Linked DNA regions of Callithrix jacchus. The protein of the gene in region 2 purifies or fractionates together with the protein of the main gene of each other region. This does not show direct contact. Links are inferred from orthologs where the notes say so. Each region holds a gene or a part of one and is shown on either strand. Other genes may lie near its edges.

Region 1 (10,922 bases), on a different chromosome or scaffold from region 2:
TGTGTTCCTCATCTGTTTTGCAAAAGAAACCAGAAATTCTGTCCTTGAGTTCCTCCAGGTGAAGTTAGCCAGGAAAGCAGTCCTCTTTGGTTCTAGACATTTTATGATTGATATGATCAAAAAACCCCATCCTAGTTTTTCAAAAACTGGCTCACACAAATTTAAACTGCTCTCCAACACTTTACCACTACCAATTTACTGGTTATTTCAGTATATACCGACAAGACAGGCCCTGCAGTGACTCTCAGTGCCTCTGCTCTAACAAGCGATTACTGGTACGCAGTAACTTTGTATAAAGCTTCAGGCCTCCCCCTTTAAGGCACCAGACTTCAAAAGATGGAGAGCATACTCTTCCCATTTGTACAATCTGGATAGAATTGACCCCTCCCCTCCCCACTCTCCCCAGAAAACATAATAATCTCTGCTAACCATTCACTATTTCCTAAAGCAATACTAGAGAAGATTCAGAAAATCCAGGCAAAGTAGAAGCAATATATTTTGCAACAATTATTCTTCCAATGACTTGTAAATCTCTCCCACACCATGTTAGACAGGTAAGTGACATCACTTCCAAATTTCAACTGTTACACAGAAGATCCAGAATGTCAACACCACTTGCATTCTACACAAGGTTACAAACAACACATACACCTTAAGTTCAAAATATCTGAATGAAAGCTTTCATCCCAGTTATGGGAAAAAACTTCCCATCTCACACAGGCTGGTTAGAAGCTGGTTCTGAATAGTGTCACAAACACAGCAATTAAGATCTTAAGACACTCGAGGTCTGTTGCCAGTTAATACAGTAAGTAGAACGTGATTCAGCTTCACCTTTTTCGTTTTTCCATATATTTAAGTGATCCTTTCTACACCTTTTAAAGTAGGAAAGTAATCATCTCCAGATAATCAGACATCTAAAGAAAACTTTGGTTAACTGGACTGTAGTAGTAACTGAGGAAAAAATAGCTCTTATTTTTAAGATTCCTAACTTCTACAAGAATAGCATTGATGGGATCGAACTCCTAATCAGGATAGACCTAATTCATTTTAAATGTGGAAAATATACAAGATAAATTAAATGTTTAGTCTGATAAAAAAGTTTCACAGCTGTTCTCTGCCACTGAGACGCCCCCCCCACCCCGCCCCGCCCCACCCCACCCCTGCTCCACTGTGCCACGTTCCTAGTATTCCATCCATGCCCTGCTCCGCTGCGCTGCCCTACAAATCCTCAGGGCAAAAAAAAAAACCCCAAAAAGTATAGTGTGTGTACTGCTTAAGAACTGAATGTTAAGACATCTTGAAAGCCCGGGAGTACCTGAAAACTGGGTAAACACGGACCATTTTCCTTGAGTATCAAGTTAACACTAAGCATCTGACATTCAAACAGAAAGTGCAAAATTTATACTTTTTAACACCAAGAATTCCCAAGCTCCCGCCATCCAGACATTCCATCCTGTTTGAAGTTATCAAAACATTACTTTTGCCACAAAACAAAACCAAGTATTACCCTTAAAATATCTATTTGGTATGTACAAACCACATTTTTGTCGACAGGTCACAAATCTTGAGCAGGTTCCTCCCAAGAGGGCCCTACCTACCCTAAATGAAGGTGGAACAGACATCGCTTTACTTCACCTGCACAGTCTTTACACCGTTTAACTCTCCTAACCAAACAGTCTGTCGACCTGTCATGCTGAGTTTGTGAGACACAGCTCAAATGTACAAAAATAAAAAGTAGACATAGGAAGAAATTAACCTAACAGATTTCAAATTAAGGACAGCAAGGCAATCCAAACATTAACATGGCATAAATATCTCTATTTTAGTGGCTTCAAAATGCTATTTTTAAACAAGGGATGAGTTCACTTGCTTAGATATTTGAAATACAACTTTATTCTGATTCTAAACGAAAAGGAATGGGAATGACAGTAACAAACAAGATTTCACCACTGAATATTGTGATGTGACTGCAGCAGTCTCATATCTGAAACTCAAGGAATCAACTGCGTTCCGAACAGCTAAATATGCAAGTCCAAACAATGAAGGTGTATTTTAAACTGCCATTCACTCCGAAGCCCACTCATCTCCTTCAGCATCCCACAGATGAAGCACATGTTCCGCTTAGCTAGATAATAATGAGGTGGCACACACGCTGCACCGCTGACATCACAGGACAGCTGCCTATAAAACTAGACTTCTGACGCTGGGCTCCTGCTTCATTCTCACAGGTCATCATCCTCATCCGGGAGAGCAGTTGTTTGAGCAACCTAGATGAAGAGAGGAACACTGTTAACACTCCAGCTCAAAACTGCCAGGAATACACAAGCCAAACACAACAGCCTGGACAGCAAAGTGGCCACAATACCTCTAAGTCGTGCTCATATTGCGCTGCCAAAGCTGGGTCCATGACAACCTCCGGTGGGGCAAGAGCAGGCATGGCAACAAATTCCAAATTAGGGTCTCCAATGAGCTTCCTAGCAAGCCAGAGGAAGGGCTTTTCAAAGTTGTAGTTACTTTTGGCAGAAATGTCGTAGTACTGTTTAAAAAAGTAAAAATTAGTTTTTAAAGTTGATTTTCCCAGAACATTCCAAAATAAGAAAAAGATTCTTGGTGGGGCATGGTAGCTCATGCCTGTAATCCCAGCACTTTGGGGGGGATGAGGTAGCAGGATTGCCTGAGGCCCGGAGTACAAGATCAGGCCTGGACAAGAGCAAGACCCCATCTCTACAAATAATAAATTAGGTGGGCGTGGTGGTGAGTGCTCGTGGTCCTAGCTACTCGGAAGGCTGTGGGAGGACTGCCTGAGCCAGGAGTTCAAGGCTGCAGTGAGCTATGTTCATGCCACTGCACTCCTGCCTTGGCAACAGGGCAAGACCCTGTCTTAACAAGAGACACACACACTTCAGTTGACCAACCCTGACAACAGTGAAACCCCATCTCTATCAGTCTTTAAAAACAATAAAAATAGCATAAAAATAAAATTATTTCCATATATAATATAGACTGGTCAATTTCATGGTCTTACGTATCATCTCCTCTAAGAGAAATAACTCAGGAAGTTTTAATTTTCACACACCTGAAGATTCTTCTTTCGGTGGAAGACAATGGATTTTGCCTTCACTTTCCTGTCCTTAATGTCCACTTTGTTGCCACATAACACGATGGGGATGTTCTCACACACTCGCACCAGATCTCTATGCCAGTTAGGCACGTTCTTGTAAGTAACTCTGGATGTTACATCGAACATTATGATGGCACACTGGGCTGAAAGGAACATTTGTGGTAGTTAGTACACTTAGTTTACTACACACATGAAGAATGCCAAGAACCAGTCTAGGATTCATCTGGTCTTAGACCTCACCGAGTCTCCTAGCTTTCTCCCTTCACTTCCAATTCTAAAAATGTCAATTCGCAATTTCTAAAAATGTTAATTCACAATTCTTCCTAAGCAAGATGAGCTGACCCCGTCAAACCTCCCTGATACACTTCATCATTAACAGTACCCTCATCCCAAAAAGTATCTCGGGTAGATTAATGATAAGTGAGATTCTGCAGAACCGAGCTGCCATATTCTGAGGGTAAGGGGCCTGCAAACACCTTCTTCAGAAGGTCTTTCAATGGCATGGCTGACTATACCAGGAAATATTCCTGTCTTAAATCCAGACAGGCCAAGCGATGTGGCTCATGCCTGTAATCCCAGCACTTTGAGAGGCCGAGGTGGGTGATCACCTGAGCTCATGAGTTCGAGATCAGCATGGGCAACATGATGAATCCCCATCTCTACAAAAAATAAAAATAAAAATAAATAAAATACAAAAATTGGTCAGGTATAGTGGCCTGTGCCTGTAGTCCCAACTACTCAGGAGGCTGAAGTGGGAGGACAGCTTGGCTCAGGAGGCAGAAGCTGCAGTGAACTGAGATCACACCACTGCACTCTGGGCTGGGCCACATAGAGACCCTGTTTCAAAAAATAATAACAAACCCAAATAAAGTCTATATATTCACCTGCAGGGCCAGCTATGGCATAGTTGATAAAGCAAGAATCCACAACTTTTTGGTTAAAAGATTTTTGGGGGGAAATTCTTGTGTTTATTTGTACATACTAAAGGAAAACAAAAGGCATGGAATGATTCCAAATAATTTGTTATCAGCAAAGTGAGGATCCAGGAGAGATGAGTATTTCCTTTACTCCTCTTTTTGGTATAATGAACGTCTTCCTTGCAATTTTAAAAATCAATCTATTTGAGAAAAATACTCTCCGCAACTTAGTACAAACAATGTAACAAGAAATCACCTAGTCTTGCATAACACTTGCTAAGATCCCTATCTTCCCTGGTGTTTTTTAATGGAGTACAAACAATCATTGATCACTACGTCTAAATTCATACCTGAGCCTGTTTTCATATACTGAACTGCTCTAACAGCCTGTCTGTGATTGTTTTAAACTATGACATGTACCCAGTGTAAGTCACAGTTTCTTCTAAACCATGCCTAGCATGACACAGCATGCAAATAACACAACTTGCATAAAATGTTCTCCTCTGCCACCAAAATGGTGGTCAGCTCCCCGAAGCTCACGTTTTTTAACCCAAAAATGACACAGTTCCCCTAACAGTATTAAGCACTGTTTGCCGGAACCGGCCTGATTTTCTATAACCTTGAAGGATGCAGTACACAAAAGCTCTCAGCAACGGTTCAGCAAGTCACGGATGCTTACCTTGGATATAGTAGCCATCTCTCAGTCCGCCGAATTTCTCCTGGCCGGCCGTGTCCCACACATTGAACTTAATAGGTCCTCTGTTAGTGTGGAACACCAGGGGATGAACCTCAACACCCAAGGTGGCTGCGACGGAAGCGATGCCAGTGAGTGGGCGCATTGACCCGTTTCCCACCCGTGTCCGCGAACAAGGTGCTCCCGCACATACCTACATACTTCTTCTCAAATTCACCAGTCAGATGACGTTTCACGAAGGTCGTTTTTCCGGTACCACCGTCACCAACCAATACAAGCTGTTGGAGAACACATTTTGGAAGTAAACCCAGAACACTTCACCTCTCCGGATCCCAGAGTCCGCCACGCCAAGAACGCGGACGCGGGGCCCGGCTAACAGCCATCGTGGGCCCGGGAGGAGGGACCGCGAGGCGCACGCGGGCCGGCCCGGCCGCCGCCCGCCCCGCAGGGTTACCTACTTTAAACTGGACCTGGGGCTCTCCCTGCGCAGCCATCGCGGCGTTCCTGCGGAGGCAGAGGACGGAGACGAGCGCTCGCGCGGCCCCGCAGCCCATGGCGGCCCCGCTCCCGCGCCCCCCGCGCCCCACGTGCCCGCCCCACAAAGGCCTCCCGCCCGCGGCGCCATGGCGGCCGGGCCTGGGAGCGGGAAGGCGGCGGGCGGGGCCGGCATCCGGGGCAGCGGGACCCAAGGAACGACGGACGGGGGGGCCGGGATGGAGACGAGACTGGGACCGGGAGCGGGATGGGAGCGCGGGATGGAACCGGGATTCGCGGGGGCGGGCGCCGACCCCACGCCCGTTTCTTCCCCCGGCCCGGCCCGGCCCGCGCCACCCACCTACTCACAGCCGCTCGCTGCCCCGGGGCCGGCCACCAGCCCGGGCCCTGACCCCGGCCGCGGCCCCTGTCCCGCCGCCACGGCCCCTGTCCCCCCCACCCCGGCCCTGCCCGGCCAGCCGCGTCGTTACCTTCCAGAAGCGTCTCCGCGCCCGTCCGACTGAGGCTGGAAAGATGGCGGAAGCGCAATTCAAACGCCTGAGACGCAGCCGACGCCGGCGCGCGGCAGGGGCGGGGCAGGCGCGGGGCGGGGCTGACAAGGGGCGGAGCAACGGTCCGGTGCCCGCCCACGTGGACCGCGCGTGCGCGCACGCACGCAACCCGGCTCGGTGGAGCGCAGGGTGGGGCGGTAGGCGCGGTGGACCGCGTGGGAGGACGAGGCGGGAGCGCGCACGCACGCCGACCCGCGGGCCCCATGTGCGCCAACACTCAGGGCGGGCTCCCGGGCACGCATGCGCCACTGGTGAGGCGGCGCGCTCCTGGCCGGGAGATGCTGGGCGCGGCGGGACAGGCGCGGCCCTGCGGCCTCCCCGGCGGGAGGCGGGATTCGCTCGGGCAGACGCGGTCAGGCACGCGGCTTCCAGGCGCTGGCCAGCCTGTCGTTGTCTGCGCCCCGTGGAGTGAGGGTACTTGGGGTCTTTGGGGCATAGGCCGGCGCAGGACCGGTAGGTGACAGAACGAATGAATGAATGAATGGGTCCTAGGCCGGTCCCCCAGGGTCAGCCCGCGCCTTTGTCTCCCCAGAGCTTAGCCTTCACGCCCCCAGGCCCAGGGACAGTTGGAGAGCGAGGCATCAGAGAGGGATGCGCCCACCCAGAAACACGGGTGCTTATTTCTTTTGAGACGGAGTCCCGCTGTATGGCCCAGGCTGGTCTGGAACTGCCAGGCTCACGCAGTCTTCCCGTCTCGGCCTCCGAGTAGCTGGGACTACAAGCGCGCGCTACATCCGGGCTGATTTTGTTTGTCTTAATTGAGACACAGGATCTCACTGTGTCTCCCAGTCTGGCCTCAAGGGATCCGCCCTCTTCGGCGTCCCAAGGCGCTGGGATTGCAGATGCAGTCACCGCGCCCGGCCATAGCACCCCTTCTCGGAGCGTTTCATAGGTCGGCAGCCATGGCGGCCGCATCCTACAAACAAAACGATGAAATTTCGTTTGCGGTGTGGGCGGGTCTTCCAGCCGTAGTTACCCTCGGGGGCGGAATGAGGAAGTGCCCAAGCTCCCGGCCCCCTGTGGAGCTGAAGCTGTGAAGAGCCTAGGCCAGGTTGAGCTAGAGGGACCCCGACCCACGGGTCCTTCCTGGGCGCCCCTGCTGACATGCAGACAGATAAAGGCCCAAATCAGCGCAGTCAAGCACCTCAGAAAAGAGTTCCCCGTGGGGAAAGAGCCCCAGGGACCCAGGGGTCCGCCCAGCAGTCACGAGCACACTTGCAGGCGAGTCCGCTGGGAACCCCAGTGACGCAAAGTGCGCACAAGGCGCGCGAGAACCGGCCAGCTGGAAACGCAAGTCCAGGGACCCTCGGGAACGCCAGCCACCTCTCAGACGCTGCTGGTGGGAGAGCAGAATCTAACAGCAAAACGGGAATGCCCGCTGCTTGTGACCCTGGATTTCCGTTTCTAGGGAGAGGCCCTGAAGGGAAACTCATGCCTCATGCATGTGCACAGCATTTAATGCTGTAGAACATTGGAAAGATGGTCATCTGTTTGAACAGGTTAGATAGATGTCAAAAGGATAATGTTGAGAAAAGAAGTGATCATATCTTTATAAAGTCTAGGTCACCTGTAATCTCAGCACTCTAGGAGCCTGAGGTAGGAGATCCCTCAAACCCAGAAGTTCCAGGCTGCAGTGAGCAATGACCGCACCGTTGCATTCCAGCCTGGGAGACAGACCAAGACCCTGTCTTCAAAAATTAATACATAGACCAGGTGCGGTGGCTCACGCCTGTAATCCCAGCACTTTGGGAGGCTGAGGTGGGCAGGTCACCTGAGGTCAGGAGTTCGAGACTAGCCTGGCTAACATGGTGAAACCCCGTTTCTACTAAAAATACAAAAAATTAGCCAGGCGTGGTGGCGTGCGCCTGTAATCCCAGCTACTTGGGAGGCTGAGGCAGGAGAATGGCTTGAACCTGGGAGGCGGAGGTTGCAATGGGCTGAGATTGCACCACTGCACTCCAGTTTGGACAACAAGAGCAAAACTGTCTCAAAAAAAAAAAAAAAGAATATGTAAAGCCTAACACTGTATGTAATTTTGCCTAGAGGGAATATATACACACACATTATATTTATAGCATAATGCCATTTAGGTAATATTTTTACAAATACACAGAACAAAAGCATGTTGGTTATTGGATATATGTATTTTATTTTTTAATTGACTGCAAGGATCCGTACACCATATCCTGATGGTTATTCCTTCAGGAAAGGGTAGAAAGGAGTGATGGCACTGAGCAGAGGAGTCAAACAAGACTTTACCTGCAATGTTCTATTTTTTTTCTTCTTGTTTTTTGAGACAGTTTCACTTTGTTGGTCAGGCTGGAGTGCAGGGGCGCGATCTGGGCCCTCCACAACCTCCGCCTCCCAGGTTCAAGCGATTTTCCTGCCTCACCTTCCTGAGTAGCTGGGATTACAGGCCTGCACCACCATGCCCAGCTATTTATTTATTTTTGTGTTTTTAGTAGAGACGGGGTTTCATTATGTTGGCACAGGTAGTCGAGTGATCACTTCGGCCGCACGTATACCAAAATTGGAATGATACAGAGAACAGCATGGCCCCTGTACTAGGATGACAATTTTTTTTTTTTTTGAGATAGAGTCTTGTTCTCGTCACCCAGGCTGGAGTGCAGTGGCGCAGTCTTGGCTCACTGCAACCTCTGCCTCCCGGGTTCAAGCGATTATCCTGCCTCAGCCTCCTGAGTAGCTGGGACTACAGACACCCGCCACTACACCCAGCTAATTTTTGTATTTTTAGTAGAGATGGCTTTTCACCATGTTGGTCAGGCTGGTCTTGAACTCCTAACCTCAGGTGATCCACTCGCCTCAGCCTCCCGAAGTGCTGGAATTACAGGTGTGAGCCCCCGCGCCCGGCCTTGCAGAGTATTTTATAGGCCAGGTGTTTTGTACACTGTCTTTTCATTTGTGTTTCTCTGATACTTCCTCATCATTAGATACAGCTCATGCAGTTTGGGTAGAGCAACCACAAGATGATGCTGTGTCCTTAGTGTCTGATCAGGAGGCACAGAGTGGATCTGTTTGTTTTTTAGCGACAGGGTATTTCTCTGTTTACCCTGATTGGAGTGCAGTGCTGTGAGCATGGCTCACTGCAGCCTTGAACTCCTGGGGTCAAGTGATCCTCCCACTTCAGCCCCCCGACAACCCCCCGAGTAGCTGGGACTGCAGGCACGCACCACCACACCCAGAATTTTTTTTACTTTTTTGTAGAGCTGGGGTCTTGCTATATTGCCCAGTCTTGTCTCAAACTTCTGGCCACAGTTTTCCTGCCTTGGCTTCCCAAAGTTTTGAGATACCAGGCATGAGCCACTGCACGTGGCCCAGAGTGAGCTTTTAAAACCATATCAGATCCTCCTCCTCCACTCGTAAAACCTTGCAGTGATTTCCTATTTGCCTCACTTAGATCCGTGAAATCTGTAGTCAGGGAGGTCCCATGGGCTCTAGCTCATTTCTACCTCTCCCACCTGGGCTCCTGCCTCTCCCTGTAGCCTCACAGGCATTTCCATATCTTAACCCCAGCCAAATTTGTTCCCACCACTGGACCTTTGCACTTACTGGTTCCTCCGCTTAAACTTCTCTTCCCTTGGCCAGGTGCAGTGGCTCACGCCTGTAATGCCAGCACTGGGAGGCTGAGGTGGATGGATCACTTGAGGTTCGAGGTGCAAGACCAGCTTGGCCAATGTGGTGAAACCCCATCTCTGCTAAAAATGCAAAAGTTAGCCTGGTGTGGTGGCACGCATCTGTAATCCCAGCTACTTGGGAGCCTGAGGCAGGAGGATCACTTCAGCCTGGGAGGTGGAGGCTGCAGTGAGCCATGATTGTGCCACTGCCAGCCTGGGCAACTGAACACGACCCTGCCTCAAATAAACAGACAAAATGCTGTTCCCCACACATCTTGGCCTGACTGGCTCCTTCCCACCCTTCAGGCCCCTGACCACCCCCAGGCCTTTGCCACCTCAGCACCCATTTTATTTTCTTCCGAGCACTTACTGAGAACATACTGCTTAATTATTTACATGCTTGTTTTTAAATCTGTCATTCCTTCACTAAAATAAGGGACATACCATGTCATGATATTCCAAGTATCTAGCCCGGTGCCTGTCACATAATGTATGCTTACAAATATTTATTGAAACATTGAGCGAATTACTCTTTTTGTGTTTCGTGTTTGGTTTTCAGAGGCACAGTCTTTGTTGCCTGGGCTGGAGTACAATGGCATGATCATAGCTCACTGCAGCCTCCAACTCCTGGGCTCAAATGAACCTCTTGTCTTCGCCTCCAAGTAGCTTGGGTCATGGGTGTGTGTGCCTCCTGGGTGAATGAATGACTCATGCAGGAAGAGGAATGAGACAGCAGCATTCTATTCCAATAAGAATAATAAATATGCAGGCCCATTGAATGTTAATCATGGCACTTCATGGCAAAGACATCTTTGCCTGCACTGTACTCCAGGCTGGGGAACAGCATGACCCTGACTCAAAAAAAAATTTTTTTTAATTTAAAAATAAGGGCTGGGTGCAGTGGCTTATGCCTGTAAACCCACTTTGGGAGGCTGACGTAAGAGGATCACTTGAATCCAGAAGTTCAAGACCAGCTTGGGCAACATAGTGAAGCCCCATCTCTATTTTTTTTTTTAAGTTTCTAATAAAATGTTTAAATAAATTTGTTTATAATCTTTTTAACTTTTATTTTATTATTTTTTAGATGGAGTTTCACTCTCTCACCTAGGCTGGAATACAGTGGCACAATCAACCTCCATCTCCTGGGTTCTAGCGATTCTCCTGCCTCAGCCTCCAAAGTATCTGGGATTACAGGCATGCACCACCAAGCCTGGCTAATTTTTGTATTTTTAGTAGAGACAGGTTTTCGCTATGTTGGCCAGTCTGGTCTTGAACTCCTGACCTTAGGTGACCCGCCCACCTCGGCCTCCCAAATGAGCCACCATGCCCAAACTATAGTATTTTTTTAATTTAAAAAAAAAAATGAAAAAGAAATTTAAATATTTTTAAAACAAAAAATAAAAATAAAGATCAGAACGGTACTGAGTGTACTCTTCGGTGGCCCATACTAAACAGAATCTTCCAGGCTGTCGTCTGGCCTGTGCTGGGTGGGTCACAACGTGCTTGATA
Region 2 (10,277 bases):
GACAGTGGATTCTAATTAATGTTTTCCAGTAAGAGTTATAGTTTAATTTAGGAGTTTATATTTGAACGATCTATTTCACTTTACCAACTAGTATTTTAACATTGAGATTTTAACCCCTTTTTGTCAAAAATACAGTATGGCCAGTTTCCTTAACTAAAGCCTCCAGTGCTCGGTTTATTAGAGCTGTTTCTGAACTAGAACTTTTAGGATTTATAAAACCTACCAAACAGAAGACTGACCATGTGGCAAGGCTAACATGGGGAGGCTGCTAGAAAGCAAATGAGCGAAGCCAGAACTATCACATTTAGCTGAAGAGAAGAAGGTGAACTATCATATTTACATATACTAGAGGAGCCTGTTTTGGTGAGAAGATAAATGGGTAATCTTCATGTGATGTTTAACCAGAAAAGTACATTGCTAACCCCAAATGGGCATATATCAAAACACCTGTGGAGTACTTTAGAATCCAACAAACAATACATAACTAAAACTGCTCACATATTTTACTGTACTTTCCAAAGTCATTAGTAAATTATGAGTAAATCATTCTTGAACTTATAGTATATAAATGTAATAAATTCCTTCATCCAGGAGTATAATTTGCAGTTGATTTAGCACACCTCATTCCTCCTCCCCCAATTTCTTGCATTGGCATTCCTCACTTTAGTGTAGTAGACAATAGGTAACATGAATATCCTCCAGGTTTGTTTCTGCTGGTGACTACATAGGTTCCAAAACTGCCTCTGCCTACCCATTTCCTTTAGTCTTACAACTTAAAAAAAAAAAAGGTCCAAACTGTTTGGCTTTATGCTTAAAGGCAGTAAATATTCTATTTCTGGATGACCCATCATGGAGCCAGTAAGGCCTTTACAAATCACATCCCAAACAAATAAAAATCAGATGAAGAAAGTAAGGCCTAGATGAATGACATCTTGATCTCTTCCGTGGCAGAAACTCAAGACATAATGAAACAAAGTTAGCTAAAGTTTCTTATTTAATAATGCTCTGTTCCTAAGAGAATTCTGGGACTTTAAGATTACTCACTAACATACACAATTACCATGCGTATATTTTGTTTTGCAAACCTTGGAACTATGTAATTGCAAGATTGTGTGTGTGCATGTGTGCTAATAGGCTTTGAAGAGTTTTATGAGTATCCATTATCCAAAATGCTTGGAAACAGAAGTGTTTTGGATTTTAGATTTTGGAATATTTGCATACCTACAAGTTCAGCATCCAAAACCCAAAATGCTCCAGTGAGCATTTCCTTTGAGCATGTCAGTACTCAAAAAGCTTCAGATTTTGGAGCACTTCAGATTTGAGATTTGGGATATTCAACTTGCATAATCAAACCTCCTTCATTCAGGGATGTAAAAGGAGGTATTAATACAAACTTAGAATAAAGAACACCTTAGACCTCTGCCAACATGGTGGACTGAGATGACATTAATGGGTCACCCTTCTCACCTCACTCTCTGCTTCAAGCACATAAAAATGCTAAATGAAATATATCTCAAAAAAAATGTCTGGCTGGGCACAGTGGCTCACACCTGTAATCCCAGCAGTTTGGGAGGCCAAGGCGGGTGGATCACCTGAAGTCAGGAGTTCAAGATCAGCCTGACCAACATGTAGAAGCCCTGTCTCTACTAAAAAATACAAAATTAGCCGGGCGTGGTGGCACATGCCTGTCATCTCGGCTACTTGGGAGGCTGAGGCAGGAGAATCGCTTGAACCAGGAAGACGGAGTTTGCTGCGAGCCATAATCGTGCCACTGCATTCCAGCTGATGCAACAAGAGCGAAACTCTGTCTCAAAGAAAGAAAGAAAAAAAGTCAAAATGTTGCCAAGATTAAAAAAGAAGGGGAGGCCCCAAGGTACCATAAATAATCAACTGGAAGAACAGCAAAGGTGGCCAGTGTGGACAAGGCAGAGTGAGCAGTAAGAATTCAATAGGAGTTGAATGGGATCGGGTGGAGGGCAGGTAATTTAGGGCTCCATAGACCATTGTAAGGTTTCTTTACTTAGGAAGCCACTAAGCAAGACTTTGACTTTTAAAGGATCAGCCTGGTTGCTATGAGAGTAGAATAGAATGGGTGAGAGGAGACACAAATGAGGCAAAATAAAGACCAGTTGGGAAACCACAGAAATAATCCAAGACACTAGGGTAATAGAAGTAGAGATGGTAAGATTTTAGGTGGAACTAAGCTTAAAGGATGTAAGGAGTCCAAGACCATTTCTGCCTGAAAACCAGTCATTAAGGATGATGGAGAGGAAAAATTTCAGAGGCAAAAGTAAGTTTTAGACATAAATTTTGAGGTGTCTAGTAGATACTTAACTGAAGATGTCACACAGGTTAATATAATCTGATGTCCTTATGATGAGATCACCAAGATGAGTACTAAGAAGAGGTAAGCAGCCCAAGGCGGAGCTCAGGGGTGGGGGGGACACATCAATGTTTTATCAAAATTTAGGGAAATGAAGACTGGGCTGGCAGCAAAAGACAAGACAGAAGGAGTAGCCAATAAAGGAGAAACATCAAGCTAAGTGTAGTATTTTGCAAGTCAACCGAAGAGTGCTTCAAGGTAAAACGCTAGCTGCTGTTGAGATTTAACAATGTGGAAATCTTTGATGAGTTTTACTAAGAGTAGTGGAGACGAAGCCTAATCACCTATCAGATGACCAAACCGAGTGTCCAGACTTAACAGCCTGGAAAAGCCATAACTGTGTGATGCAATATGGAAACCACAGCATCACCTTGCACTCTTGCACAAAAAGTTTAACTTGAAACTTACAAAGACTTTAGGCCTAACTTGCAGTTTACAGGAAGTTCAAAGGGATATTAGAAGTTAAATTAATGACACTACAAAGAAAAACTCAACAAGACAACAGGACTAGTATTTCCAGAAAGTGAAAATCTTAATTGAATCCTGTTTGGGGGATGAGGGTACTTATTTTAAAAAGAGACACATGAAAAAATCTGAAGTGACTTGATGTTAAATTTTAGGTTGGACAATGGTATTATTATATAGAATCACATTCTTAGGAGATGCATGTTTAAGTATTGTTATGTCTATGACTTCCTTCGAAATAGTTTCATACAAAGCAAATATGGCAAAATATTAATAACTTCAATTTAAGTGGACCATTATACTATTCTTTCAACTTTTCTGTTGGAATATTTTTTCTAATAAAACAAGTTGTTGAAAAAAGGAGGCGGTAATAAAACGGAGGAAGTTTAGAAAATCCTTGAGTTTTGCTTTTATAAAGGGGAGCAGTAAAATAATCACTAGCAAGAGATATAGGATCAAAAGATTTTTTGTTAACATGATTATGCTTTTGGAAGTGATTTAGTAGAGAAAACAGATGCATTAGAGAGAGGACTGTTGGAGCTGTATCCTTTGCCTGAGACATGGGTTTGCATCTAGTGCTCCTTACCTAGGGCAAATGCAGGAGCAGAGAATTCATCAGTAGACAGAGTCAGACTATTAGGGTGCTTTTGTAGAATAATCACTTAACACCAATTACTAAACGATTTTGAAGGGAGTAAAGAGAACCCAAACGGGGCAAAAACAAGTTATTTTCAACCGTAGCTGCTTGGATCACCTAGGCAGCATGTTTAGATTCCAAAAGTTCTCCCCTCCCCCTAATTGTCTAAAGCAGTCTCTAGGGATAAGTAGAGCCTGAGAATCTTCTATTTTCTTTAGGGTCTTGCTATAGGCCAAAGACAGCTTCAGTATTTTAAACATCCAATATTTATTTTTCTCAGATTGCTTATTTTTCAAAAAATACAAAGAATTATAGCTATGTGCACTTGTTAATCAGAGATTTACTAAACAGATCATAGTACAGTACCGTATCAGTACTGCCTTTTACTAAAAGAATAAGATGACTGTTAACACAATTCTGTAGATACTAATTACAAGCAATTTGAGGGATTTGGGGAATTCAGAATCCCTAGGTAGCTAAAATAATCTTCCTATTGAAATCATGTGTGGTTGGTATTTGGACTAATCAACTACTGGACCCATTTAAGTCAGAGTAGCCTATAAGCTAGGACTTTTGAGTAAGCGATAATGCAGACATTTGGCTGTAAAAGAAAAAAAAAATTTTTTGCGACAGTCTCCCTGTGTCATCCAGACTGGAGTGCAGTGATATGATCTCGACTCACTGCAACCTCTGCCTCCCAGGTTCAAGTGATTCTCATGCCTCAGCCTTCTGAATAGCTGGGACTACAGGCTATCCTGCTAACCAGTGGTTCTTAGCTAGGAACTCTTTTGTCCCTCAGTGACATTTGGCAATGTCTGCAGACACTTTGGTTATCACAGTTGTGGGAAGGGGTTTAACTGGCCTCTAGTGGTACAGGCCAGATACGACTAAATATCCTGTAATACGCAAGAACAGCCACCACAACAAAGAATGATCTGACCCAAACTGCCAGTAGTGCTGAGATTGAGAATCTCAGTTCTAAGACCATTAAATGGAGGTAGAATTATGCACCTTGTTGGCACCTTGTGCTATACCAATGTTCCTCAATCTAATTGACATACAAATTGCCTGGCCACCTTGTGAAACCACTTTTTAGGCTTGTTTTAAACAAAGAATTGGTGAAATCTAATTACCAACACTAAAAAGGAAAAAGTAAATCCCTTTTCTTTTACTAACTTGATCAATTATAAATGTATATTTAAGATTGTCTTAAATTTTGGAAATATGCTATTAGAATTCAACAAAAGGATTCACTGAAGCATTTTTTTGCTCACTTCATTATAAGAAAGCTATGTCTGGAAACCGTGTATGGAAAGAGTCAAATTTGCTGAATCATGCTTTTTCATATAAAGTCTTTAAAAGAAAAAAAAACTGGATTCTACTGATAGCTGAGGTAAAAAATTCTGTAGCAGTTAAGGTATCTATAATATTCTATCAAGGAGTAAATTACAGAAGGAATTTAGAATCAGAACTCAGTTTTTTGAAATAGCACTCAAACCTTAGAAAATTAACTTCACTGATTCCTGGAAAATGCTTATGTTTTAAAACACCGACTTTATTTGAATACAACCCCCCATCTGTACATTAAGAAACAAGCAGAACAGAATTAAATGTTTTATTCTTCCAACTAAATTCCAGTACTACAAGGGCAGTAAAACAATGATACACTGGAAAAAAAAAAAATGCAGCAATAAACATTTGTTAAAAAGACTGAGAGAATAAATAAAACTACCAAAAAAAAAAAAAAAAAAAAAAAAAAGAAAATCATATAAACCCACTCTGAAACCCCAAGAAGTCCTGGAATAAGAAATGCCCTCCTTCATTATTTCACAGGAAGCACTGCAGGCTACTTGCTTAATTTTGTCCTGGGATTACATTCTAAAATTAGTAACTGGTTACAGCTTGGTTGTAGTGCACAATTAAAATCACACTAACTTCATCTGAAGTGTCATTCTACAGTTTTATTTACACAACCAGTGAAGGGCATGTTCTAGAATACCAGCTTTAATCCTTTTCAAACATTAATATAAGAAGCCAAATTGTAATGATACAGCAAAATGAGGCCACTGGTATTAATACAGGTAGCAAAGGTCCACATCCAGGTGGTATTGACATCAGGGAAATTTCCAAAACCAGTTGCTGCTGCCTAAGAGTGGTTGCCACTGACGAAAGCTTGAAATAACCTGTATTCACAGAAGGGGTATTGGCATTGCTGCATGTCATAATTGGGACCTCTTGCAACAACTCAACAAGGAACAAGGCAGCCCACAAATGTAGAATACGTGATTCATGAAACATCTAAAGGGTGAGAAAAGGAAAATTAGTGCAAAGTACAGGTTAGAATCCAAACAATTACTAGATCTTGATTTCCAATATTGCCCCTAGGTATTTAAGTAACCAAAAGACTTACAAAGTTACACTATTTCCTCCATACATTTTCAGTAATTGTTAAATTCTCTTTTTGAGTATGAAAATAATTATGTCTTCTCCTTAAAAAAGAGTCTTATTTTCAGTTTATAACTTCAAAAGTGAAATACTTACAACTAGCAGGCTGTTCTCCATATCGTCGCATTATTTGATCATGGGTAAACTTCACAAACGCGTCATATTGTTCTACAAATAAAGGTACATGTCAATTACATGATTTGTAAAATGCCTTAACATTAGAGCCAGATAAACTGAAAATACAAAACATATAGTAAAACAATTCTAAGTTGAAACTTAATCACTTACATAACCTCAGTAGTACTAACAGTGTATCAAATAAAAACAGCATGGAGCTTACGAGTCAGGAAACCTAGGTTTTAGTCCAATCACAGGACCTGACATACAACCTAGGTGAGGTTTATTTCTTTCCTAACAATTAAAAACAAGGGCTTTCAATAAAAAGACCTTTCTACTCTGAAAGTTATTGTGTGTGGTCTATGAATGGCAACTGACTGTAATGAGAAGAAACAGGATAACAAAAGCTAACAAAAAACAACCACCTAAAACCTAATCAGGTATCACAGAAAAAGGTGTTATACATCTAAGCAAATTCTCTTCTCTACATTAACACTTTAATTCCTTAAAAATCAAAAAGGTTATATATCTATATAAACATTAAATGTGTGGCTAAATATTCTATTTATGTTATACATAATAAATTTTATTTGCTGCATTTAAATTATCAAATTTTACTGAATTTCTTTGATAATTAAAACAGGACTACAGTTTGATACTCAAATGACTTACATAGTGACAGCAAATTCGTTATTTTAAATGTCTAGATTGAGGTCAAAGTTACGAAACATATAAAGTCAAAAAATCCACAACCAAATTGAGGTAAACAACTAAACTCAGTTTTTAGTACAGGGTACATACTAATATTACTGCGGATCTACACAGCTAGCCAATACTCTCTTCCTGAGGTTGCCAAGGTGGGCCATGAGCTACAAGCTTTATTTCCTTTCCTAAACTGAAATTTTCTCATTCTCAGAGAATATACCGCACTAGTATATAGAAAGTGAAATTAAAGTACACACAGAAAATAATGCATTTCTTACAACTGAGTTCCTTGGAAACTAATAAACACATCTCATACCTGCAAGTTTTGTGTTCAATATTTCTTCATATTCTTCTCGAACTTTCTCTTCACGTTCTTTCAACAAACGTTCACAGATCATCCCAACCTGCCGTAGAGTAAATAAGGGCTGTTCTTTTTTTAATGGTGAGGATGCTGCAGATGAAGTCCCTATGTAGAATAAGGACAAAAAAATAGCACTTGGTTTAGAGCCACGAGAGAAAGCAGTTCTTTCTCCAAATGAAGAGATTTCATTTGGGACTCTTCAATGTTGATATAAAAGCATTTTCAAGTCAGTTTTTGACCACAGCATTTCACAAGTCTCAAAATAATAATTTCATGCTGGATAAACACAGCGAGATGTAATCAGAGAAAAAAGTCTAAAGGTGAGTTGAAAACCTTTAAGCATAAGCAAAGCATAGTGGTCCACACCTGCAATCCCACCACTTTGGGAGGCCAAGGTGGGACAGGCATTCAAGACCAGCCAGGCCAACATAGTGAAACCATGTCTCTACTAAAAAAAAATGCAGGTTATAAGGAGCAAGTAAAGACAGGAACAGTGGTGGTACCAGGGCAAATACACAGAGCTAGATGAAGAAACAATTGATAGGAAATGAGTGGTGTACCTGAATGTGTATAAAATACTTTTAGCAGTATTATAGATGGCTATGGCTAGTCTCATTCTGAGGTCTCAAAGATTAATTTCAGATATTAAGAAGATAGGAGGGATGTTTTTGGAGAGATTAGGGTACCTTAAGTGGTAAAGGAGGAACACATTTCTGAAGAAATCTTATTTTTTTTTGAGACAAGAGTCTTGCGCTGTTGTCCGGGCTGGAGTGCAGTGGCATGATCTCGGCTTACTGCAACCTCAGCCTCCCAGCACATAGTATTCTGTTAATTTTTTTTTTTTTTTTTTTTTTTGAGACAAAATCTCACTCTGTCGCCCAAGGTGGAGTGCAGTGGTGCAATCTCAGCTCACTGCAACTTCAGCCTCCTGGGTTCAAGTGATTCTCATGCATTAGCCTCCTTAGAGGCTGGGGCTACAGGTGTGTGCCACCATACATGGCTAATTTTTGTATTACCAGTAGAGACAGGGTTTCGCCATGTTGACCAGGTTGATCTCAAACTCCTGACCTCAAGTGACTCGCCTACCTCACCCTCCCCAAGAGCTGGGATTACAGGCATGAGCAATTGTGCCTAGCCTGTTAATTTTTTTTAATAAAGGCTACAAATCATAGTACTTAGAAGATGCCCACTCTAGAGATATTATATACAGGTGGTTGTCTCTGGTTAGCAGGAATCCAGGTGGTAATCTCTTACCTTGTCCCTTTTTTTTTTTTTTTTTTGAGACGGAGTCTCGCTCTGTCCCCAGGCTGGAGTGCGTGGTGCAATCTCGGCTCACTGCAACCTCTACCTTCCAGGTTCAAGCAATTCTCCTGCCTCAGCCACCTGAGTAGCTGGGATTACAGACACATGCCACCACACCCGACTAATCTTTGTATTTTTAGTAGAGACGGTGTTTCACCATGTTGGTCAGGCTGGTCTCGAACTCCTGACTTCATGATCCTCCTGCCTCTGCCTCCCAAAGTGTTGAGATTTCAGGCATGTGCCACGACACCTGGCCTTGTACATATTTTTAAGATGTCATGTATTACTTGTATAAATTTTTTAAAAATCAGAGGATATAGTAGCTTAAATAACTAAAGGCAACGTGGATTAGACTTTTCCCACTCTAAATAATAAATTTTGCAAGTGAAAAGAAACGTTATTACCTGGTGAAGCTGGTCCACTAAGGAGAAATGCATGTGGCTGTGCATCAGAAGTACAACATGGATCTGTCTGTTGGAAACTTGTTTCTAAATGTCTTCTCTTCTGCATTCGTTTATACTCTTGTTTTATGTTGTACAGAATTTGTTCTAAAAGAAAAAAAGTTAAAATTTGTCAAGATAAAAATTTTCGCATTCAAAAAACAAAAAGGTTGGCTTTCCAACAATTATTTAGTAGACCAATCTACCCAAAATATTCCTTTCAAATAATATCCAGGAAACTGACATTCTGGTAGGAATTTATTCAGCATAAATGGTGACATTCCCTTAGCACATACACACCAACTGGAATTCAGGTGTTCAACAATATCATTCTTGCTAGGGGGGAGGAGAGAAAGCACTGAACAAAGGCAACTGTTGTCATAAGAAAAACTATTTTGCTGAGAACTTTACTAAAGGTAAGAACCACTATTGACGATTCTCTTTTAGCAAAACCATCAAGTAGCCCTTTCCCAACAAAAGGTAGGTTAAAAACAGATATAGGATCAAAAAAAAATAATAATCCACCTTTAGAAATCTATCCCAATAAGACACGTGTGCAAGGAAGGGGATGTGCACAGGGATATTTCTTAAAATAATATACCAGCAAAACTTCTAAGTGCACTGACTGGCAAAAATTAAGTTTTTCAATTGAAATAATGGTCAAAGAGTCTGCGAACCAAAACACTTAGTGTTTCAAACTCAAAGCTCATTTATTCATCACATAGGACTATTACACTAACAGGCTTTTCCAATTGCCTTTATGCCTTTTCCAAGCCCATAAATAAGAAGGAGTGTGGGGGATTATGTGTATTCAAGCACACACCAGTGAGAAGCGATAGTAGGTCAACAAAATGACAAAGTAGATAGGAACTAAAAAATTGGCCATGGCCAATTATTTTAAGCTCAGTAAAACCTAAGAATATTACAGCATTCTGAATCTTGGGGCTGGAGGGTGGGTGAGGGGTAGACCATATAAAGTGATTGGTGCATTACAGATCCTCAATAAATAAGAACCACTACAGTACAGTGCAATTATCTTGAACCACAATCATAGAAATGAGTAAAACTGTATCTGGCATATCCTTTAGGGTTATCTAAAGGGTTTAAAGGCAATTATATTTTGCTCTGAGAGAGAAAGTAAGCTTCACTCACATTCATTAGTTTCTGCTCAAAGCTATTATTATCCTGATCAAAAGTGCCATTCAAAACATGATAAAGTTTATTTATAACCAGATATTTTAGGAGGTACTAGCTTGGAGTAACTTGACCTTAATATTTACCTTTTGTGTGACTTATATACATTCTTTCAACACCATATAGCTGTTCTCAGATTTAGTCTTCCTACTGCTTCACAAATCAACCAAAGCACAACTAAAATGTACTAAAAGAATGGTTGTATAGCCGGGCGCGGTGGCTCACGCC
Region 3 (10,433 bases), on a different chromosome or scaffold from region 2:
TAAACAAGGCATTATCTAATTTTGAACATTCTTTGCTGGTTTTAATGACCCACCATCAGGCTAATGGTTGATCTCTACATTTTACTATAAGGAAGGAACAGATCTAAAAATCAGGGTCTTAGGTTAGTAGTCCTGTGAGATTTTCTAACGGCAAAAGCAGGCCAGGCACAGTGGCTCGTGCCTCTAATCCCAGCAATTTGAGAGGTCAAGGTGGGCAGATTACTTGAGCCCAGGAGTTAGAGACTACTAGCCTGGGCAACATAGTATTTTTCTACAAAAGAATAAAAAATTAGCTGGGTGTGATGGCAAACTCCAATACCTTGCATTTGGCAATAAAATGATGTCACAGCTTTCCTAGAACTTCACATGAAATTATTTGTCTTGTGTGTATTTTTAGAAATAAAGTGTTCACTTGACCAAGACTTCACATTCTTCAAGTTGCACTTTCCAAATACATGATGGTAACTGTCTCTCGAATATTATTTACCTGCTCCTCAGTGATTTGCATGTACAGGATAATATAATAAATCAATTCAGGCAAGGCTTTCTTAACAGTGCTTTTGAATTTGCTATTTTCTAGTAGAGCATGAACAAATTCAAAAATGCTAAAGACAAGATTTTCAAAGCCCAGGACTTCACCTACAGGAAATATACAAAAGAAGAAATTAATGGCGAGAAAGTAAAAAGAAAGCATACATGCTGAAAATGAACTATATTATCTCTGTAAATTATTGAATATTTAAAGTACTTGCTAATAATTATTCCTGAGGAATTGGGAGAGGGCTCAGAAGTCACAAAACAGAATTTTGAGGACATTAAATATTCTTTGGTTTTTCAAGTAAAATAACCAGAAACACTGAATATATTTCCCAGTATGTCTATTTTTCTAATCTGAAATACTTCGAAATATTAAAATAGAAATAAAAGACTCATCAACTGGGACACCAAAATGAAACATGACAAAATGCCAGAAACAGGCTAGATTAAATGGTCTTAAAAGCATCTCTTCCAACTCAGAAATTCTATGATTTTATGAGATTTATGCAAATACCTATGAGGAACAGACTGAAGACTGTCAATTCTTATTTCCTCACATCTAATATACTGAAAATAAACTCAATTAGAAAACACTTAATAGAATGAAGCCTCTCAAGTTTACTGTTTTTTTTACCTCCTGTCTCTGGCTTCTTTTTCTTTTTCCACTAAGTGGCATTTCTATAAAGATCAAATAAACTACATACCATCAGAATCCACGGGATCTTCTACTTCTTCTGTGTAATTTACTTCTGTCCTCACATAAGTATGATGAAGAGTAAAGAAATAGAATTTGGAGTTTGCTTTACATATAATCTACAAGGAAATGTTACATACTCCAACACTAAAAGTAGACACCTTAAAAAGGCCTGTTTAAGAAGAGTAGAACCACATGAATGAGAGACCCAATGCTAGATTCCTAACTATAGGTGGTAGTAGCTCCCTTAAGCTTTCAAGAAAGGATATAAAGCTGCACTCTCAGTTAGGGTGTTCCAAACAATAGGCAGAATCTGCTGCATGGAGGACACCATGTGCTTTGGGAAGTTTTTCACTAGGGCTGTCACTGCCTAAGAAGTTAAGAGAAAAAGATCCAAGTTATGAGTGATATATAAGAAATCAATGATTTCAGACCACCCTCTCAAACTCCAAGTATTTCATTGGTAGGAAGTGTTTACCTTTAGGACCTCCATCTTAAACCCACTGTCAGATGTTGGGCCATCTGGTATCTGGAGGGCCTGAACAAAGGCCTCTGTGAACTGCTGTACCACGGGAAAGATCAGGACTTTGGCTGCACCCTGATAACAGAAACCAAAGTCGATGCTGGATAAATCCCTAATCCAGTCAATGCTTGAAAACATATGTATCAAACACTGATATTTGAAAGGCACCTGAAGCTCTCTTCAGGTTCCGAGACAGACCAGAAGAGAATAGCTATAAGGTCAGTGAAGGTGTTACCCAAAGTTTCATTAACCAGCACTGGTAGTTCTTCATCACAGCCCTCTTACAAACTGTTACGCAAGACCGACGACTTTCCTCATAACTGTTTCTGAATCACAGGGATTGCTTTGCTTCACACAAAAGGGGCCATAAAAGAGTAGGAAAGTTCTGAGTGATGACTACTGCGAAAAGGATATAGGATAAAGTGTTTGAAGAAGTAAGACTCAAAAGGCGACTAAGCTTTTTTTTTTTAAGATAATTTTTAAGTGTGAGGGAGATCCATTTATTAGCATAAGTTATTCAATAGCCTTATTTAAGGCCAGAACCCAGTGATTTTTAATTGAAAATACTGGCTGTGAATTGCTGGAAGTTTTAATAATGTTATCCCTGTCTTGAAATTCTACTACACAAAATTGAGTCAAAGAGCATCTGTGAGTCACCTGAATTTGTCTCCTGGCCAGCTGCATATTTGATTTTGAATCATTGTGCTGCCTTGGATCCAAGGCACTGTTGTTCTCAGCTCTAGACCTTGTCATCCTCTCTAGTTCTGTTTTAATGATGAGGGATGGTAAACTGGGCTGGGAATTGAGAGATTAATATTTGGATTACATTTCTACCACAAGGAGTTGCATGACCTGTGATTAGAGACGCTGGCATTTGATGATAATTCACTAAAAAATTGCCATACAACTTATCGCCATGTCGCCCAAAGACATCCAGCATTTAGAATTTATCATTCCTTTAATACAACAAACAAAACAAAATACACTCTAGGCCAAATTCACATCTGGTTGGGAATCCTAGTATCTCTGTGGTAGGGGTAGGGTTCAACTGTTCACAGCATATTTTTCTTTGGTTTCCTACTCTTCATTTCCTGCTTCTGTTAAATTCTTATTACCTGTCTGCATCTCACCTCCTGGCCATTTTTTCCCTTCTATTTTTGTCATTAACTCCATATATGGAAGACAACTTTGTCTTTAATTTTCCACCAATTCTCTTTTACCCAAGACAGTGTATCTTGCAAATTTTTACTGAAAGTCTGGCATAAAGCATGCGTGTGTGCGCGCGTGTGTGTATGTAGATTAAGCTTTTTACAAATTGAAAATTCAATCAGGCCAAGTGTGGTGGCTCACACCCGTAATCCTAGCACTTTGGGAGGCCAAGGTGGGAGGGTCACTTGAGCCTAGGAGTTCAAGATGAACCTGGGCAACACAGGGAGAGACCCACTCTCTACAAAAATAGATTCGTTAGGCCAGGCATGATGGCTCACGCCTGTAATCCCAGCAATTTAAGAGGCTGAGACAGGCGGATCATGAGGTCAAGAGATTGAGACCATCCTGGCCAACATGGTGAAACCCCGTCTCTGCTAAACACACAAAAATTAGCTGGGTATGGTAGCACGCACCTGTAATCCCAGCCACTCAGGAGGCTGAGGCAGAAGAATTGCTTGAACCCAGGAGGTGGAGGTTGCAGTAAGCCGAGATTGTGTGACTGCACTCCAGCCTGGCAACAGAGCAAAACTCTGTCTCATAAAAACGACAACAAAAAAACTCAAATAAATAAAAAAATAAAAATATAGCTGGGTGCTGTGGTTCATGCTTATAATCCCAGCACTTTGGGAGGCTGAGGTGGGAAGATTACTTGAGCCCAGAAGTTCAAGAGCAGCCTGGGCAATATAGTGCAACCTCATCTCTACAAAAAAAAAAAAAAGAGAAAAGAGGATCAGCCAAGTGTAGTGGTGCACATCACACGTGTAGTTTCTACTGGGGTGGGAGTTGCAGAGGTGGAAGGATTACTTAAGCCCAGGAGTTCGAGGCTGCAGTGAGCCATGATTGCACCACTGTACTCTAGCCTAGGTGACAGAGCAAGACCTTGTCTGGAAAAATAATAATTTAATAAAAATGTGTCTATCTCTAATACTGGTTAGTGTGCTTTTTGGTGCTGCTATCATGAAATGACTCACTGCTTTGCATGAATAAGACTTTTAAGCATGAAGTCTGTTATTGATCCAAAGACCCGCTTACCTTTTCCAGCTCCTCCATGTTACAGATCATATGGGCACAAGTGGTAAAAATCTCCACAGCTCGGGAACGGGTTCGAATACCATAGACCTGGAAAAAAGGTTACAGAATAGCTATGAGATTAGAGCATGTAGGTATGTGTGTATCTCTGACTAGAAGTAAAGCTATGACTAATGAATCCTCACATGACATTAGATATCCTTGAGAGATGGTAAATGTCATTCATTTATGTCCAGGAGGCAGACTTCCGTAATTGAGAGAATGAAACATAGTAGAATCATAATGTTGGAACTTACTGTAATGAACCTTATATATGGGCTTCTGGTTCATTTGATTAATAACCGGGCCGGGCGCGGTGGCTCACGCCCGTAATCCCAGCACTTTGGGAGGCCGAGGCAGGTGGATCATGAGGTCAAGAGACTGAGACCATCCTGGTCAATATGGTGAAACCCCATCTCTACTAAAAATACAAAAAATTAGCTGGGCATGGTGGTGCGTGCCTGTAATCCCAGCTACTCAGGAGGCTGATGCAGAATTGCCTGAACCCAGGAGGCAGAGGTTGTGGTGAGCCGAGATCGCGCCATTGCACTCCAGCCTGGGTAACAAGAGCAAAACTCCATCTCAAAAAAAAAAAAAAAAAAAAAAAAAAACCACCAGGCTGGGTAGTGCTTAAAATCCCAGCCTGGTGGGATTTTTGAGCAAAAATAAATAAATAAATAAAAAGCAGGAGTTGCAATTCTCACATCTGATAAAATAGATTTCAAAGCAACAAAGATATAGTGGTAAAAGGATCAATGCAACACTAACACCCAGATACATAAGACCCATAAAGAGATTTAGACTCAACAAGACAGAAAATTAATAAGGATACCCAGGACTTAAACGCAGATCTGGAACAAGTAAACTCAATAAATATTTATAAAGCTCTCCATTTTAAATACACAAAATATACATTCTCCACCTTAAATACACAAAATATTGATCGGCCATTATTAATGCCCATTTTTAGAATAAAGCTACATTCCCATTCTCTCTCCCTCTTTTTCTTCCTCTTTCACTCTCCTTTTTCCTTCTTCCTTTTTCTTCTCCTTCACTCCTTTTTTTTTCTTTCTTTAAAAAAAAAATCCTAACACAGCCAATATATTTCCTTTAAAATGCAGATCATTGGTTGAGGGCTGAGGGGTATAGGGAAGTTAAAAGATTATCAGGGATTTATACCTTATTATAAATACGTTATTCATATACACACTAATCAAATATACATACAATATATTAAGGGTCTATTATGTGCAATGCAGTGATAGATTGCTTCCAATTACTTAGCTGAGGTAGGCAAGCTGAGGTGGGATAACTCAATGAGGCTGGAAGTAGCATGAAGGCACTATTTATTTACTTAGGGGCTCCTGGATGCCAGTAAGTATGATATGTGAAGAAATATTTAAGCTATTTCACTTTTTTGTTTTTTGCGATGGAGTTTCGCTCTTGTTGCCCAGGCTGGAGTGCAATGGCATGATCTTGGCTCACTGCAACCTCCGCCTCCCAAGGTCAAGCGATTTTCCTGCCTCAGCCTCCCAAGTAACTGGTATTACAGGTATGCACCACCATGCTAGGCTAATTTTTGTATTTTTAATAGAGACGGGGTTTCTCCATGTTGGTCTGGCTGTTTGGTCTTGAACTCCTGACCTCAGATGATCTGCCTCTGTCAGTCTCCCAAAGTGCAGTGATTACAGGTGTGAGCCACTGTGCCTGGCTATTGCACTCTTTTATCAAAGGCTTGCCCTTATAGTTGAGTGAAAGGTCCAAGGTTAATTCAGATTTCAGTTCTAGTCTTTAGATATTGACATCAGTTACAAACACTATAATCTCCCAACTGAGAGGTGGGGGCTGACGAGAGCCTGAACTCACTATAATCTTGGAGCTGAGATTTCATACCTCAGCCATGGTGAAGATCTTATACATTTCTGGGAGAATGACAGGAGCAACAAGTGGCATCTGTGTGTCCGTCACTTCTCGAGTGAATTCTACGAAGAAAAAAGCAGTACTGTTAAAAAAAAAAATACTGCTTCATACAGATATTAAGCGTGATATTTGTGAACTGCTTCTAGGTGGCAGTTCCCAAACAGACAGGACACAGGTAAAGACAGTGGCCTGGTGGTCTCATTCTGTGAAAGCAAAATTAGCGAGAGTTGCTGATTATTTGTTAGAAGGAGAAAGAATAATATGGAAATAGAGAAAAATACAAGAGATTAAAAAAGAAAACAATACAAATACTGAAAGAAAATCTGTAATAGAACTATGTAAAAGTCCTTGTGAGGTAAACTTGGAAAATTCTGTATTAATTTATCATGTGCCCATTTGTCAACATTCAGTTACACTTTGAGGTTTCTTACCTTTGGTTCTGTTTTCAGTACTTTTGCTTGGCAAGCTAGTTTGATGCACATAATATAACATGTACAGACTTAGTAGGCCTCAACTCTATTTTGTATATTTATTGACCTAAAAGTTAGAGGCTGTTACTAACTGGAACAAAAAGGGATTTTCTACATAAATGTGGCAAAAAAGCATCCTATACACAGAATGAGACTTGAAGAAGGTGACGGAAATATGGGTCGTATCTTTCCTTTCACTTCTTAAAAAAAAAAACCCACACCACACACAAGGCACTGAGACAGCACAAAGGACCCTGGATTCATGTTACAAAGAAGCAGGATAAAAGCCCTTGAGTTCTAATAAGTATTCACTTCACCTGATGCTTTTCTACATTATCACTATAAAAATGGAAACAGAAGCTGTGCACAGTGGCTCACACCTGCAATCCCAGAGCTTTGGGAGGCTGAGGTGGGAGGATCAATTGAGGCCAGGAGTTCAAGACCAGCCCGAACATAGCAAGATATGCCACTACATTTAAAAGGAAAAAAAAAAGCTGCATGTGGTGGCATGTGCCTGTAATCCCAGCTACTTAGGATGCTGAGGCAGGAGGAGTAAGCTACAATAGGGCCACTGTACCCAAGCCTGGGTGACAGAGTGAGACCATACCTCTAATAATAAATAAATAAATAGCTAACCACTTGGGACATTTTGGGGGAAGATACACAGCTAGAAACACAAGTTGGCAGAGTGAGACCACATCTCTAATAAATAAATAAATTTAAAAAAAAGTTAACCACTTGGGACATTTTGGGAGAAGATACACAGCTAGAAATACAAGTTGGCATTTTCAGGATTAATGTACTCAATAGTTTTGGGCAATATCAATCCCCATGAGTCAAATGAAGATAAAATACTCAAGGATGAATTTTCTTTACTAGCTGTAATTTCTTCCTCAAGAATAAAGTCTGAGCTTTGAATAGTGAGTGTTCTATTTTATTTAGAAATCCAAGGAAATTAGTTGAAATAAACATAATAGATGGCATAATGATAACAACCTTTATGAAAAATATAGTATGATTTCTTTTTTTTTTTTTTGAGATGGAGTTTCACTCGTCACCCAGGCTGGAGTGCAGTGGTGCAATCTTGGCTCACTGCAACCTCTGCCTCCAGGGTTCAAGCGATTCTCCTGCCTCAGCCTCCTGAGTAGGGATTACAGGCGCCTACCACGCCCAGTTAATTTTTTTATTTTTGGTAGAGACGGGGTTTCACCATGTTGGCCAGGCTGGTCTTGAACTTCCAACCTCAGGTGATCCACCTGCCTTGGCCTCCCAAAGTGCTGGGATTACAGGTGTGCGCCACCACATCCAGCCAATTTAATTCTACTAATAAAGCGCTTACCTGCTTTTTACTCTCCTATACTCAACCCTGGTGTCAATTTATTAATATTTTATAGGTTTAATTCCAAAAGTTTTCTGAAGTGATTCTGCAAGTCAGAAAAATTCTGGGACTCCAGCAACACCTCAATCTCCAAACTTCTTTGAGACTGAAGAAAAAGCTGTATCTGTGGATCAATCCTTAGCTGGTATGTTTGCATTTCCTTCACAACATGAGCCTTAGTCAGTTCTCATCTATAAGTAGATAAGTTTAAAAGGAAGCCTCATTAAAGGGAAACTGGTACAGTATCTTGAAAGACTCTGAAGAGAATCAGTACCATTCTCCTAATGGGCCTCTGTCCATCGCCAATGTCTTGCTATCCTCGTGCATGCCTAAGTTTTTGTTGTCAGAGCGTTGTCTGCCCTTGTTTGAAAATATGTGGAGCAATTATTTGGGAATAGCACTTGGCTGCCAGCCATTCCATGTCTGGTGACTCCATTACAAAAGGAGACAAATTTCCCCAACAGTTCTTTCCCTGTGGCTGGCAGAAAAGTGATCTCACTGAACAGTAATTTCCTTAGTCAAACACAATAAGGGCTCTTGAGCATCCAAATCAAGATAAATGTACAAACACCTTTACTCTCCAGGTTTGTCAAAAGAAGCTGAATTTCATGTTGGAAGTCTGAGAGGGAATAGGTTTCCTTTCGTTGGTAGAACATGTATCTGTTAATCGATATACTGGCACTATGAAGTTGTGAATAAAGAATTCTAAAAGGCCAATTCCATGGAGAGGGGTGTGTGAAATCACCTGAATAATGCATGAGTCATAAAGGAGAAGCAAGGGCAATAAGCAGGGAAGTAAAAATCTGAGCAAGGAACATTTTGATCTTTTTGGTAAGTCTGTTCTGTATCTGGGCTAAAAATTGAAGCTTTGTCACAGGCAATCAATACGAATATCGTGGGTAATTCAAAAAGACAGCTGGGGCATGGGAAGAGGTGGTTTTGAAACAAAAAGAGAAAAAAGACTTGTATTTGGCAAAGAGTTGATATTATCTACCATTAGTATCACACAGACTAGCAAAATTGGACCTATGTGCTAAGTTCAGTAAACTGAGATTCAGAGAGAATAGAATTGGCATGCAGAACCAGGTAAGAATACATTTCAGGTAAACTAGCAGGGCATACAGAAAGAGATAAGGTATTGGTGGGACTTTGACAAACCTGTGTGAATGAAGGACAAAGATGATTTCTAAAAGATCAGTACAGGATGACTAAAGTCCAGGTAAGAATTTCTTGAAGGCAAAACAGAGTAGTGACTTCATCTAGGGAATAGAAAGCAGGGAGGAACTTGCAAAGGACTGGGAAACTCAGGCCATCCCTAAGGACATATGAAAGTAGACTCTGGGTGGGATTGACAGATTAATCAGGTTTAGAAGAGATATCCATCAAATCTCTTTGAACTAAAAGCTGAAGTTTTCTTTCTTTCTTTCTTGCTTTCCTTTCTTTTCTTTCTTTCTTTCTTTTGAGATGGAGTCTTGCTCTGTTGCCTAGGCTGGAGGGCAGTGGCACGGTCTCGGCTCACTGCAACCTCTGCCTCCCTGGTTCAAGTGATTCTTCTGCCTCAGCCTTCCGAGTAGCTGGGACTACGGGCGAACGCCACCACACCCGGCTAATTTTTGTATTTTTAGTAGAGACAGGGTTTCACCATATTAGTCAGCCTGGTCTCGAACTACTCACTTCATGATCTGCCCGCCTCGGCCTCCCAAAGTGTTGGGATTACAGGTGTGAGCCGCTGCACCCGGCCTAAAGTTGAAGTATTTTTATCAACTTCTCAGAACAGAGAAAAAGAAAAGATACTGAGACTGCATATTCTTTAACTGGCCAAATGAAGGTCAGGATTATATGGCTATACTGTTTTTATCTTCTTTTTAATATTTCTATAAAAATCCACTTTACAATTCTTAACTTTGCCTTGGTTGAACAAAGTGGAAAAATAATATATAATAATTATCAAAGTAACTAAACTCTACTGAACATGTCAATAAAGACAGATTAGCTATTTAAACTATACCAAAACCTTTTTTATGCAGACACTACTAACATCTTAATTTTATATACAAGGAAACTCAGGCTTAAAGAAGGTAAGTGAAGGATCAAGGTGAAGAATCCAAAATCTGAATACTCAATCACTATGCTATTACTGTATCTGTAAGTGGTAAGGTTTGGTAGTATATGTAATACTATAAAACTTCATTCTCTAGAAAAATACAATGGAGCTGCAGGGTAGATGCAGAGATAAAAACTAGGAGGAATAACATAAGCAGCAGTTCCTACTGGTCTGGGCCATTCTATCACATAGCTTCTTATAATACTCTCGTTGCTTGAGATCCAAGTACCAATACCAGGGAAAAGGGCTTCTGGTACCTGTCAGAACACGCATGGCTCCATGGACGGCATTTAAGTCTCCGCTCACCAACATCTCCATGAGCAGGTTGAAGAGTTGGGGCCAAGCTTCAGGCCAGTCCCAGTGGGCAATAGCTGACACTGCATAGGCCACACTGGAGCGCACTTTGCTTATCGATTCTCTCAACCCATTAGGCAATAGCTCCCGGATAACAATTTTTGCCTGTAAGGGATAAAAGTCCACCTGCTATTAGATCAGGTTATATGTGACTGGCAGAGCCCAGTCCAGTTGGG

The links.
Region 1: the proteins of AKIRIN2 (region 2) and RAN purify together in Homo sapiens (affinity purification with mass spectrometry; 3 studies listed by BioGRID and IntAct, counting the BioPlex papers as one, with this or other methods). This does not show direct contact. The link is inferred for Callithrix jacchus from reciprocal best matches to the Homo sapiens genes AKIRIN2 and RAN.
Region 3: the proteins of AKIRIN2 (region 2) and IPO9 purify together in Homo sapiens (affinity purification with mass spectrometry; 3 studies listed by BioGRID and IntAct, counting the BioPlex papers as one, with this or other methods). This does not show direct contact. The link is inferred for Callithrix jacchus from reciprocal best matches to the Homo sapiens genes AKIRIN2 and IPO9.

What each region holds. Positions count from the first base shown.
Region 1 is NC_133510.1:134,083,611-134,094,532, reverse strand, and holds RAN (GTP-binding nuclear protein Ran), read right to left. Parts: upstream 5,729-10,922; 5' UTR 5,698-5,728; intron 5,237-5,697; 5' UTR 5,227-5,236; coding exon 5,191-5,226; intron 5,011-5,190; coding exon 4,926-5,010; intron 4,844-4,925; coding exon 4,718-4,843; intron 3,265-4,717; coding exon 3,077-3,264; intron 2,537-3,076; coding exon 2,366-2,536; intron 2,268-2,365; coding exon 2,223-2,267; 3' UTR 1,874-2,222; downstream 1-1,873. UniProt on the Homo sapiens protein: GTPase involved in nucleocytoplasmic transport, participating both to the import and the export from the nucleus of proteins and RNAs. Switches between a cytoplasmic GDP- and a nuclear GTP-bound state by nucleotide exchange and GTP hydrolysis.
Region 2 is NC_133505.1:93,759,496-93,769,772, forward strand, and holds the end of AKIRIN2 (akirin-2), read right to left. Parts: intron 8,964-10,277; coding exon 8,820-8,963; intron 7,219-8,819; coding exon 7,069-7,218; intron 6,099-7,068; coding exon 6,027-6,098; intron 5,784-6,026; coding exon 5,773-5,783; 3' UTR 5,087-5,772; downstream 1-5,086. Other genes in the region: ORC3 (origin recognition complex subunit 3), read left to right, coding at 167-272. UniProt on the Homo sapiens protein: Molecular adapter that acts as a bridge between a variety of multiprotein complexes, and which is involved in embryonic development, immunity, myogenesis and brain development.
Region 3 is NC_133520.1:28,866,004-28,876,436, reverse strand, and holds part of IPO9 (importin-9), read right to left. Parts: intron 10,363-10,433; coding exon 10,161-10,362; intron 6,014-10,160; coding exon 5,925-6,013; intron 4,083-5,924; coding exon 3,996-4,082; intron 1,830-3,995; coding exon 1,710-1,829; intron 1,602-1,709; coding exon 1,501-1,601; intron 1,301-1,500; coding exon 1,242-1,300; intron 640-1,241; coding exon 488-639; intron 1-487. UniProt on the Homo sapiens protein: Nuclear transport receptor that mediates nuclear import of proteins, such as histones, proteasome and actin. Serves as receptor for nuclear localization signals (NLS) in cargo substrates.